Oryctolagus cuniculus: one gene and its partner. The protein of the gene in region 1 interacts with the protein of each later gene in a pairwise test. Links are inferred from orthologs where the notes say so. Each region holds a gene or a part of one and is shown on either strand. Other genes may lie near its edges.

Evidence for each region.
Region 2: the proteins of GPN1 (region 1) and GPN2 interact in binary tests that used the Homo sapiens proteins (3 or more experiments, as listed by UniProt). The link is inferred for Oryctolagus cuniculus from reciprocal best matches to the Homo sapiens genes GPN1 and GPN2.

Annotation. Positions count from the first base shown.
Region 1 is NC_091433.1:175,377,144-175,381,636, forward strand, and holds the start of GPN1 (GPN-loop GTPase 1), read right to left. Parts: upstream 3,214-4,493; 5' UTR 3,168-3,213; coding exon 3,057-3,167; intron 2,404-3,056; coding exon 2,310-2,403; intron 615-2,309; coding exon 575-614; intron 1-574. Other genes in the region: CCDC121 (coiled-coil domain-containing protein 121), read left to right, coding at 3,419-3,756, 4,352-4,493. UniProt on the Homo sapiens protein: Small GTPase required for proper nuclear import of RNA polymerase II (RNAPII). May act at an RNAP assembly step prior to nuclear import.
Region 2 is NC_091438.1:144,618,847-144,623,571, reverse strand, and holds the start of GPN2 (GPN-loop GTPase 2), read right to left. Parts: upstream 2,911-4,725; 5' UTR 2,674-2,910; coding exon 2,263-2,673; intron 1,726-2,262; coding exon 1,569-1,725; intron 863-1,568; coding exon 702-862; intron 1-701. Other genes in the region: GPATCH3 (G patch domain-containing protein 3), read right to left, coding at 3,334-3,535. UniProt on the Homo sapiens protein: Small GTPase required for proper localization of RNA polymerase II and III (RNAPII and RNAPIII). May act at an RNAP assembly step prior to nuclear import.

The sequences.
Region 1 (4,493 bases):
GCAAAGTAACCCAAATACAACAGAGATGCATCAGGCAGTGGCAGGCTGCCGGCATCAGCCATCAAGATAATCTACATAACCCTTCTGGCTCTGATCCTCACTAATCAAGCAAGCTGCTGACCATGTAAGTTCTCCTACCTTGACTCATATACAGGGAGAGCACACATTTCACACAGCAATGTACTAACAATTAATCCAGCTACACACACTCATGTCTGAGCTTCCTGATCTGAAGAGGTGCTATTCAATGGATGCAGCCTCGAAGGCAATGCTACCTTGAGCACCCAGGCAGCTGCCATCTCACCTTTCATTCTGCCTAGTCTCTACAGCCACCTGCAGTCTGTGGAGATGGTAAGAAAGCTGAAACCAGAAGTGGAAACAGTGTTTCCGATAACCTACAACATCTCTTCCACATTCACCTTGCATACTCCTAATAAATTATGAAATTTATAATGAAAATTATTCAAGGCACAATCTATGTTTTTGTGTCTTTCACAAGGAAAGGCAAAAACACCACACAGACAGAAACTAGCCAGCCGCGAGACAACACTGAAGTAGATATAGCAAAGGATACTGTTTCATGACTTCTTTATACTTCACAGTGTCACGAATATCTGAGGGGGGGGGCAAAATAATTGCATTTAATACATAACAATATGATTTGACACCCACCCCACCGCCCTTAATGTCCTGAGCCAAGAGCCTTCTCAAGTCATCTCTGTTTCCACTGAGGGAAAAAGTAAGTTTCTCTCTCGGTATCTGAGTTACTTTTCACACTGTTCTCTGAAGTTTGCACCTAAGATCACTGAATTTCTATAGAAGAAAGAAGCGAGACTGTGAGGGAAAAAAAAATCAGAAGGGTAAAAAGTTTTCCATCAGCATCTTCCTTACCAGCAAGAAACGAAAATCAGCCTTGAAGAATGAGAGCTGGGAGCTCTCAAGTTATGGGAGGAATGTCTGAGACAAGGTGGAAGTTCTACACAACTTAAATCATTAGTGACTGTACGGAAAAAGAGGGCTAAAATTTTAAAGCTTGTGTCTTACTAATTGCACACTGATGAAAAATGTGACACAGAGAAAGTTTTTAAAAAGGAATTAAGAGGTGGATGCTTGGCCTAGTGGTTAGGCCACCAGTTGGGACACCTGTGTCCCATGTCGGAGTGCTGGCGTGCAGACCCTTGCTCCATGCCCGATTCCAGCTTCCTGCTGGCAGGCGCTCTGGGAGGTACCGGTGTTGGCCTTGCCATCAGGTGGGAGACCTGGACTGATTCCTGGGTCCTGGCGTTGGCACCTGATCCTAGGCCCCTGCAGGCATTTACTTAAAAAAATTCATTTGAAAGGTGGAGCTACAGAGAAAGAGGGAGAGAGAGAAAGCGAGAGAAGTTCCATCTGCCGGCTCACTCACCCTTGCAGGCATTTAAAAGTGAGCTGGCAGATGGGAGCTCTGTCTGTCTCTGTCTCTCAGATTAAAGAGGGAGGGTGGGTGGGTTTAAATCTGTCTAGTAAAATCTACTTAACCTATCCATCCGTCTGTAGACTTCTGCCATCAACTTTTTTTTTTTTTTTTTTTTTTTTTTTACAGGCAGAGTGGAAAGTGAGAGAGAGAGACACAGAGAAAGGTCTTCCTTGGCCGTTGGTTCACAGCGCTGATCCTAAGCCAGGAGCCAGGTGCTTCCTCCTGGTCTCCCACACAAGTGCAGGGGCCCAAGCACTTGGGCCATCCTCCACTGCCCTCCCGGGCCACAGCAGAGAGCTGGAATGGAAGAGGAGCAACCGGGACTAGAACCCAGTACCCAAATGGGATGCCTGCGCCGCAGGTGGAGGATTAACCAAGTGAGCCACGGTACCAGCCCCATGATCTCTGCCTCTTAATATGTGGTCTTTTATTGTATTTGGGGTATAAAAAGCTTGGGGGTGGGGGACACAGGCACTGTGGGGCAGCAGGTAAGGGACTGTGCTACATATGGAAGTACCCCCCATATGGAAGGGCCTGGGATCAAGTCCCACCTCTACCTCCAATCCAGTTTCCTGCTAATGAGCAACCTAAAAGGTAGCAGATGATGGCTCAAGCACTTAGGTCCCCGCCACCACATGGGAGGCCAGCATGGAGTTCCTGGCTCCTAGCTTTAGCCTGGGCGTTAGATAAAGGCCAGTGTTTAAAAAGGAGAATGTTTTATAAAGAAGCCTGTTTAGGGACTGAAGAACATCCAAGAGAGATAAAAGTACGAAGTTCAGAAAATAAAAAAAGTCCCTGAAGACTGGCAGGCTGGAGGCGTTCCCCTCTCTGCGTTAGGGCACAGTGTACTCACCAATGTTGGCAGGAAAGGGGACTTCGTGCACAGCCGGGTCCAGATTGATCACATAGGGCGGGGAACCTTGGCTGTGCAAGTGCCCAGTGAGCCGCTGCAGACAGGAAGATGGGAGGGGGAGGGAGAGGAGGAGGGGGTGATCAGGAAGGGCATTTCCACTCCTTCACCCACCGCCCTCCAGCCACCCGAAATATCCACCCTGCTTCCAACATCAAATCTCGGCTCAAACGCTACTTTTCCTTATCACTCACCTGACAGAGCCTCCCCTACTCTTGCCCACTTATTAACTTGTATTGCAAACCCATATGGCGAGTATCTTTCTATCTCCTCCATGAAAGTAAAAACCTTGTCAACCGCATTTTCTCCGTATCCCCCATGCCTGGAACATGAGAGGGGCCCCAGAAATAACTTTTTTCGCAAATCTTCACCGAAACCCAATGGGTTAACACCGAATCTATCTACTCCATGCCTTGTGAGTCTGCCTTCGAGAGGCTGGCAACTTCCCCAGCAAACAGTTCCAACACAACGTGGTAAGTCGAACCAAGTGTGCACAGAAGAGGGCTTCAATGAACACAGGCGCGGGTCCGCTATGCCTCAGCCCACGAAGCAGCCGGAGTTCGGTGAAGTCCCTGAAAACCACGCGCCGGTGTCCTCCAACTCCCCACGGACTTCCGTCGCTTTCTCCCTGGCCTTCTGCCCGCCACCACCTCTCGCGCTGCCCTACCCCGCCCGCGCAGTGTGCGTCACCTGGACAAAGGTGGTTTTCCCGGATCCCGCCATCCCCAACACCAAGAGGCACACGGGGGGCCGAGGACCCCCGGACGCCTGGGGCTCCGCCGCAGCCGCGAGCGCCGCCATCTTTGCTCAGGCCCCGCCCCTCACCACAGAGGCGCGGCGTGGCTAGAGAGGCCTCCGCGACGTTCTAGATTGGGCGGAGAATAGAGTCGAACGCCGCCGAGAGGCGCCGGCCAGCGGGTGCCGAGTTTCTGCTGCGGGCGGGCTAGTGACGCCGGGAGAGAAGTGAGGGGAGCAGAGAAGCGAGAGGAGAGGGCTAGCGGAGCCGAAAAAGGAGCACTGCCCGTCGCTGGCTCCTCGGAGCGGGAGACGAGATGGGCTCCCAAGGGCCGAACCCCCACCACACGAAAAAGAGGGGCGTACGTCTCATTTTGGGGTCCCAAAGAGCTAGGACCGAAGACGCTGGTCTGCCGCCTGCTAGAGCTTGTTTGGCACCCGAGGAGATTAAACAGCTCAGGGCTGGGCTGACCGGGGCGGGGGCTAAATGGGACGCTTGGGGGTGCTGGGCAGCGCGGAGACCCGTCGAGCCGCAGACTGAGCAGCTGCAAGACCTTTCCGCCTTCACGACCCCCGACGTCAGCGCGCGCTCCTCGGCGACCACCCTCCGAGAACTGCGCAGCTACCGCTGTCAACAGCTGGATTCCAGGAGCAAGTGAGTGCGGCCACGGAAAGAGGATGAAGGAGCCCGAGAAGTATCCCCGCTCCCCATCACCGTCCCGCGTCCGACGATCTGGGTTTCATACCCAGGCGCTGCCACTGGTCAGCCGTCTGGTTTCTTGTTCTTTAAAACGGACACTACGCCGCGGGGTTGCAGGGAATGCCTATTGCAAATTGTCGGCGGTACCCCCAGCATCTTCAACCCTGGTTGTATTTCCCGTGGCTTGCAGAGTGTTTGGAACGTAGTAGGTCTCCAAAATACTTGTTGAGCTGCCACTTGGGACACCAGCATTCCGTATCTGAATGCCTGGGATCAAGTTCCAACTCCACGTCCAGTCTAGCTTCCTGCAATGCGCCTGGGAGGCAGCAGTTGGTGGCCCAGATACTTGGGTCCCTGCCACCCACGTGGGAGATGCGGATGGAGCCCCAGCTGTGGCAGGTATTTGGGAAGTGAACCAGCAGATGGGAAATCTGCCTTTCAAATAAGTAAATAGTCGCTGTATTAATTAAGGACAATTGTGCATCTTTTATGATTGCTTAAATTTGCATTAAGAACTGACAGAGGCACGTCTCATGGGCTCTCCCTTCAGGTTTGCCGAAGGTCCCAGGAGTTCCCCTCCGTCGTACCTCAGTCTAATAAATAATCTGCTCCAGCCCCAGAAGCTAACAAGTGCGGAGATGCGCATCAGAAGAAGAATGGCGAAGGTGCGAGAGCTGGACACGCAGATTAAA
Region 2 (4,725 bases), on another chromosome or scaffold:
GGTGCTGCTTGAGATGCCAGCCTCTCATATTAGGTGCCTGGGTTTGAGGCCCGGCTCTGTGACCAATTCCAGCTTCTTGCTAATGCACACTCTGGGAGGCAGCAGGTGATGGCTCAAGCAGTTGGGCTCCTGCTATCCATGTAGAAAACTGGACTGAATTCCAGTTCTTGGCTTTGGCCTGACCCAGCCCCAGCTGTTTTTAGCAAATGGAGAATGAATCCGCAGATCTGAGCTCTTTTTTGCCTTTCAAATAAATAAATAAATAAAAACAAGAGAAAGGGTAGAGGCAAGTCAGTTCAAGGAAAGGAATCTACAAAGTACCTGTCTCTCCCAGGCGCTCTCTGCAGGGTGCAAGGTAAGAGGCACAGGGTTTGGGCACCTGCCCAGCTGACGGGCCTGACAGACACGCCCTGGACGAGGACAAGTGTCTCGCTGAGGGCTTCCTGAACCCACCTTTTTTCACACCGAGGAGGACGTGTATGGAGGGGACCCAGGACTCCAGAAGAGATCAGGTGAGAACGTGGGCCACTCTCTTTACTGGAATCCTGCCCACCACAGCCTTTCCCACCAAAACCAAGAGGACCCTGTGACAGTCCAAGCCAGGACAAAGACCACTGTCTGCACAGCTTCCTGTGCCCCTGGCTTGGGGAGTCTCAAGCACAGCCAGACAGCAGGGGAAGAGGCCTGCTAGTGCCCAGTACCTGGATGTTCAGAGGGATAAAGGAGACCAGGCTGTAGTCTTCGATGAGCTGCACCAGCTTCTCATTGAGCTGGCGGTAGTGGCGGAAGAAAGGGTCAGAAGCCAGGTGGTCGAGCAGGTAGGAGAGGTCCAGGACCTCTGTGTAGTAGTCCAGGTTGAAGGCTAAGGAGAGAAACCAGTGTCGGGGCAGCTGGCATCAGGCTGAAGTCTGAGGACTGCCACAGTATTTTCTTCTGGTGCAGCATCCTGCACACGGCACAGTAAATTAGCACAGCCATTTCAGAAAACAGCTGTCAACGTGCAGCAGGCTCCTACCTACACGCACACGCACACTGCCATACCTTGACTCAACAATCTCACTTCCGATAATTTATCCGAAGCAGGCATTCATCGGACTCCAGATCTGCCAGAGCCTCATGCAGAATTTCCTGGCTTCCAAAACCGTTAGAAATAAATGTGGCTGAACCCAGCTGGTCTACGGTATTTTGGGTGCAGCAGCCCAAACCAAGACAAGGCCTTTATGTCTATCTGTCCCTCCACTGGCTCCTTCTCGACACTCAGGCCTCAGCTCAGAAGCGACTGCCCCAGAGCCGTCAGATACCGCTCAGCCCCCACTCACTGCCGCTGTCAGGTCACCTTGCTTTAATTCCTTCACACCCACGTCACCAACCGCAGCTCTCGTCTCCAGAATCTACAACGGTATCTGGCACAGAGTGACAGAAACGGGCCAGATCAGGACCTGCCTGTGGTTACCATCACAAGGCCTGCGCGGCCCGCCCGAGGCAGCCTCCCTCTGCTGAGACCTCGGCCTCAGCCTGGCCGGCTGCAGCGGCTTGCGCCTTTGCACGCCCGGGGCGGGAGGTCTTACCCAGCTTCCCGTAGTGCTCGATGAGGTCCATCTTGGAGAGGAGGTTGACGTGAGGCAGCTCCACGTGCAGCATGGTGGCCAGGGAGGTACACAGTACCGAAATGAACTTGGCTGGGTCTGTGCAGTAGTGAGAATCCACGAGGTGCACAGCCGTCAGCTGGAAGCGGAAGACACGGGACCCTCAGAGCCCAAGTCTCCCCCATCAGGCCGGGCGCTCGAGACGGCGTAAGCTGTCCCTTTCAGTCTCCTCCTCTTTCTGTTTTGTTCTAATGCCACCCTCATTTCCTTCTCCCAGGACATAAGGGGCACTCTTCCTACAAGATGCCTTGCACCAGCGCCTTCCGGTGGGCAGCAGGCTCAAATCCCACCGCATCTGATTTCATTCTTTCACTTCTGCCAACCGACTTAAAACACTCACCATGTCACTTTTTACAAAATCCCTCCTTACTCCCAAAAATGCCAACTCGAGAACACACACGTCCATTTAACAAATAAGAAACTGAGGTTCAGAGAGATGAACCGACTCTCCCAGGCCACACAGCGAGTCAGTGGCACAGCCAGGATTTGAACTCCCATCTATATTACTCCGAAGAGTCAGGCTCAGCCCCTACCTCGCTGTGTGACATGGGGGCGTGGCATCTGTCCTCCTCCCTCTCTCAGTTCTGCAAATGGGTCTCCCTGGCCCGAGACGCACCCTGAGGTCCCACTGTGCCATCTGGGAGAAGATGTTGCGCAGAGCGCCATGGTGCGTGCACAGCTCCACCTGGCCCGGGCAATCGAAGAGGAAGTAGTGACCGCGGAGAGGGTCGAGCTTGGCACGCAGCCAGTCCAGGTTGGCTTCCAGGTACTCCATGCAGTAGAGGAGGCCGCCGTTGGGCCCCAGCCGCAGCGCGTCCATCACGTCGCCCAGCCCCACCAGCTCGCCCACGTCCACGGCGCACTCGTACGGCAGCCCCTCGTTGGCCGGGTCCAGGTTCACCACCGCCACGCGCCGGCCCAGCGCGCGCAGGAATTCACTCATGCCCAGACAGTAGGTGGTCTTCCCCGAGCCCGGCGGGCCGATCACCGCCTGCCCGAAAGCGGTGGCGGGAGCGGCCTCTGCCATGGGCGCACGCGGCCAGGCGCGGGGCAAGCCGAATCAGTGGGGAAACAGGACAGTCAGCCGCGCAGGAGGAAAGACCGACGGCGGGGACAAGACCTACTGGCCTGCAGTTAGCTGGAGGCTGACGGGGAAGGACAAGTGTCTCGTACCACACAACAGCAGAGACCAAGCGGTACGCAAAGGGAGAAAATGACCCGGTACTACCCGATCGGCCCTCGACTTCCGGACAGCGCCGGAAGCCGCGGGCCCTGGGGGCGGAAGCCCCGCCCGAAACCCGGTGACGTAGTCGGTGGAAGGGCGTGGCCACGCAAACGCATTTCTTCCTGGGAGCGGAAACGCCTCTTGTCATTTCCCGGCCTTCTCCAGGCCCCAGATAAGAGAGGGGGGTGCGTCGGTACACTTTATTCTCCCATCACATCGCAGGCCTGGGGCGTCTCCCGCGGACTCGCCGCCGCCCGGTGCCGGCCAGTCAGGCCCCCGACCGTCCCGAGAGCACCAGGAGCGCGCTCCTCTTCCCAGGCGCGTAGGTCACTCCGGACAGCCCAGCGTCTCAGAGCGCTGGGGGCCGGGCCGGGGCCTGGCAGACCCACGAGCACCGCTCGTCAAGCCTTAAAATCCGGAAGGCGGAGAGGGGGCTTCGGCTGCTCCCGCACGGCGGCGCAGTCACTCGGGCTCGGCGCAGCCGGCCGCCCTCACGAAGGCGAGGTCTGTCCGAAACTTCATGCTGGTGGCTGGCTGGCGGCGCAGCAGTGCCTCGCCCTGGTCCTGAGGTAGGGGCTCGTCGTAGATGGTGGAAATGAGCCCCAGGCCGGTGCCGCGGGGCCTCTTCTGCTGCCCAAAAGGCTGTAGCTTCTCTCCGTGGTACCTGGATGAGAAAGGCTCCCCGTGAGAGGGCCGCTCTCTCTCAGCCCCGTCACAGGGCCGGAGCGCAGGGAATAGGGCCGCACCGTGGGTGCGGGTGAGGCCACCGCCTGCCATGCCGGCATCCCACGTGGGCCCAGGCTCACGGCCCCCTGCTAACGCACCTGGGAAAGCAGCGGGGGATGGCCCAACTGCCTGGGCCCCTGCACCCACGTGGGAGACCCGAAGCTTCTGGCTCCTGGCTGCACCTGGCCCAGCCCTGGCTGTTGTGGCCACGTGAACCAGCAGATGGCAGGTCTCAATCTCTCTCTCTCTCTCTCTCTCTCTAACTCTCACTTGCAAATTAAATAAATAAATCTTTTTTTTTTTTTAATTTTTGACAGGCAGAGTGGACAGTGAGAGAGAGAGAGAGACAGAGAGAAAGGTCTTCCTTTTGCCATTGGTTCACCCTCCAATGGCTGCCACGGCTGGTGCGCTGTGGCAGGCGCACCGTGCTGATCCGATGGCAGGAGCCAGGTACTTATCCTGGTCTCCCATGGGGTGCAGGGCCCAAGCACTTGGGCCATCCTCCACTGCACTCCCTGGCCACAGCAGAGAGCTGGACTAGAAGAGGGGCAACGGCAACCCGGACAGAATCCGGTGCCCCGACCGGGACTAGAACCCGGTGTGCTGGCGCCGCAAGGCGGAGGATTAGCCTGGTGAGCCGCGGAGCCAGCCATAAATAAATCTTTTTTTTTTTTTTTTTTTTTTTTTTTTGACAGGCAGAGTGGACAGTGAGAGAGAGACAGAGAGAAAGGTCTTCCTTTGCCGTTGGTTCACCCACCAATGGCCGCCGCGGCCGGCGCACCGCGCTGATCCAATGGCAGGAGCCAGGAGCCAGGTGCTTTTCCTGGTCTCCCATGGGGTGCAGGGCCCAAGCACTTGGGCCATCCTCCACTGCACTCCCTGGCCACAGCAGAGAGCTGGCCTGGAAGAGGGGCAACCGGGACAGAATCCGGCGCCCCGACCGGGACTAGAACCCGGTGTGCCGGCGCCGCTAGGTGGAGGATTAGCCTAGTGAGCCGCGGCGCCGGCTAATAAATCTTAAAAACAAGCTACAACAATCTGGTCTGGATCTTTGCTCTCGGCTCCTCTATCCACTGACAGCGCCAGCAGCGGGGGCCTCAGCCACACGCTGGTTCCGTCACTGGAGAC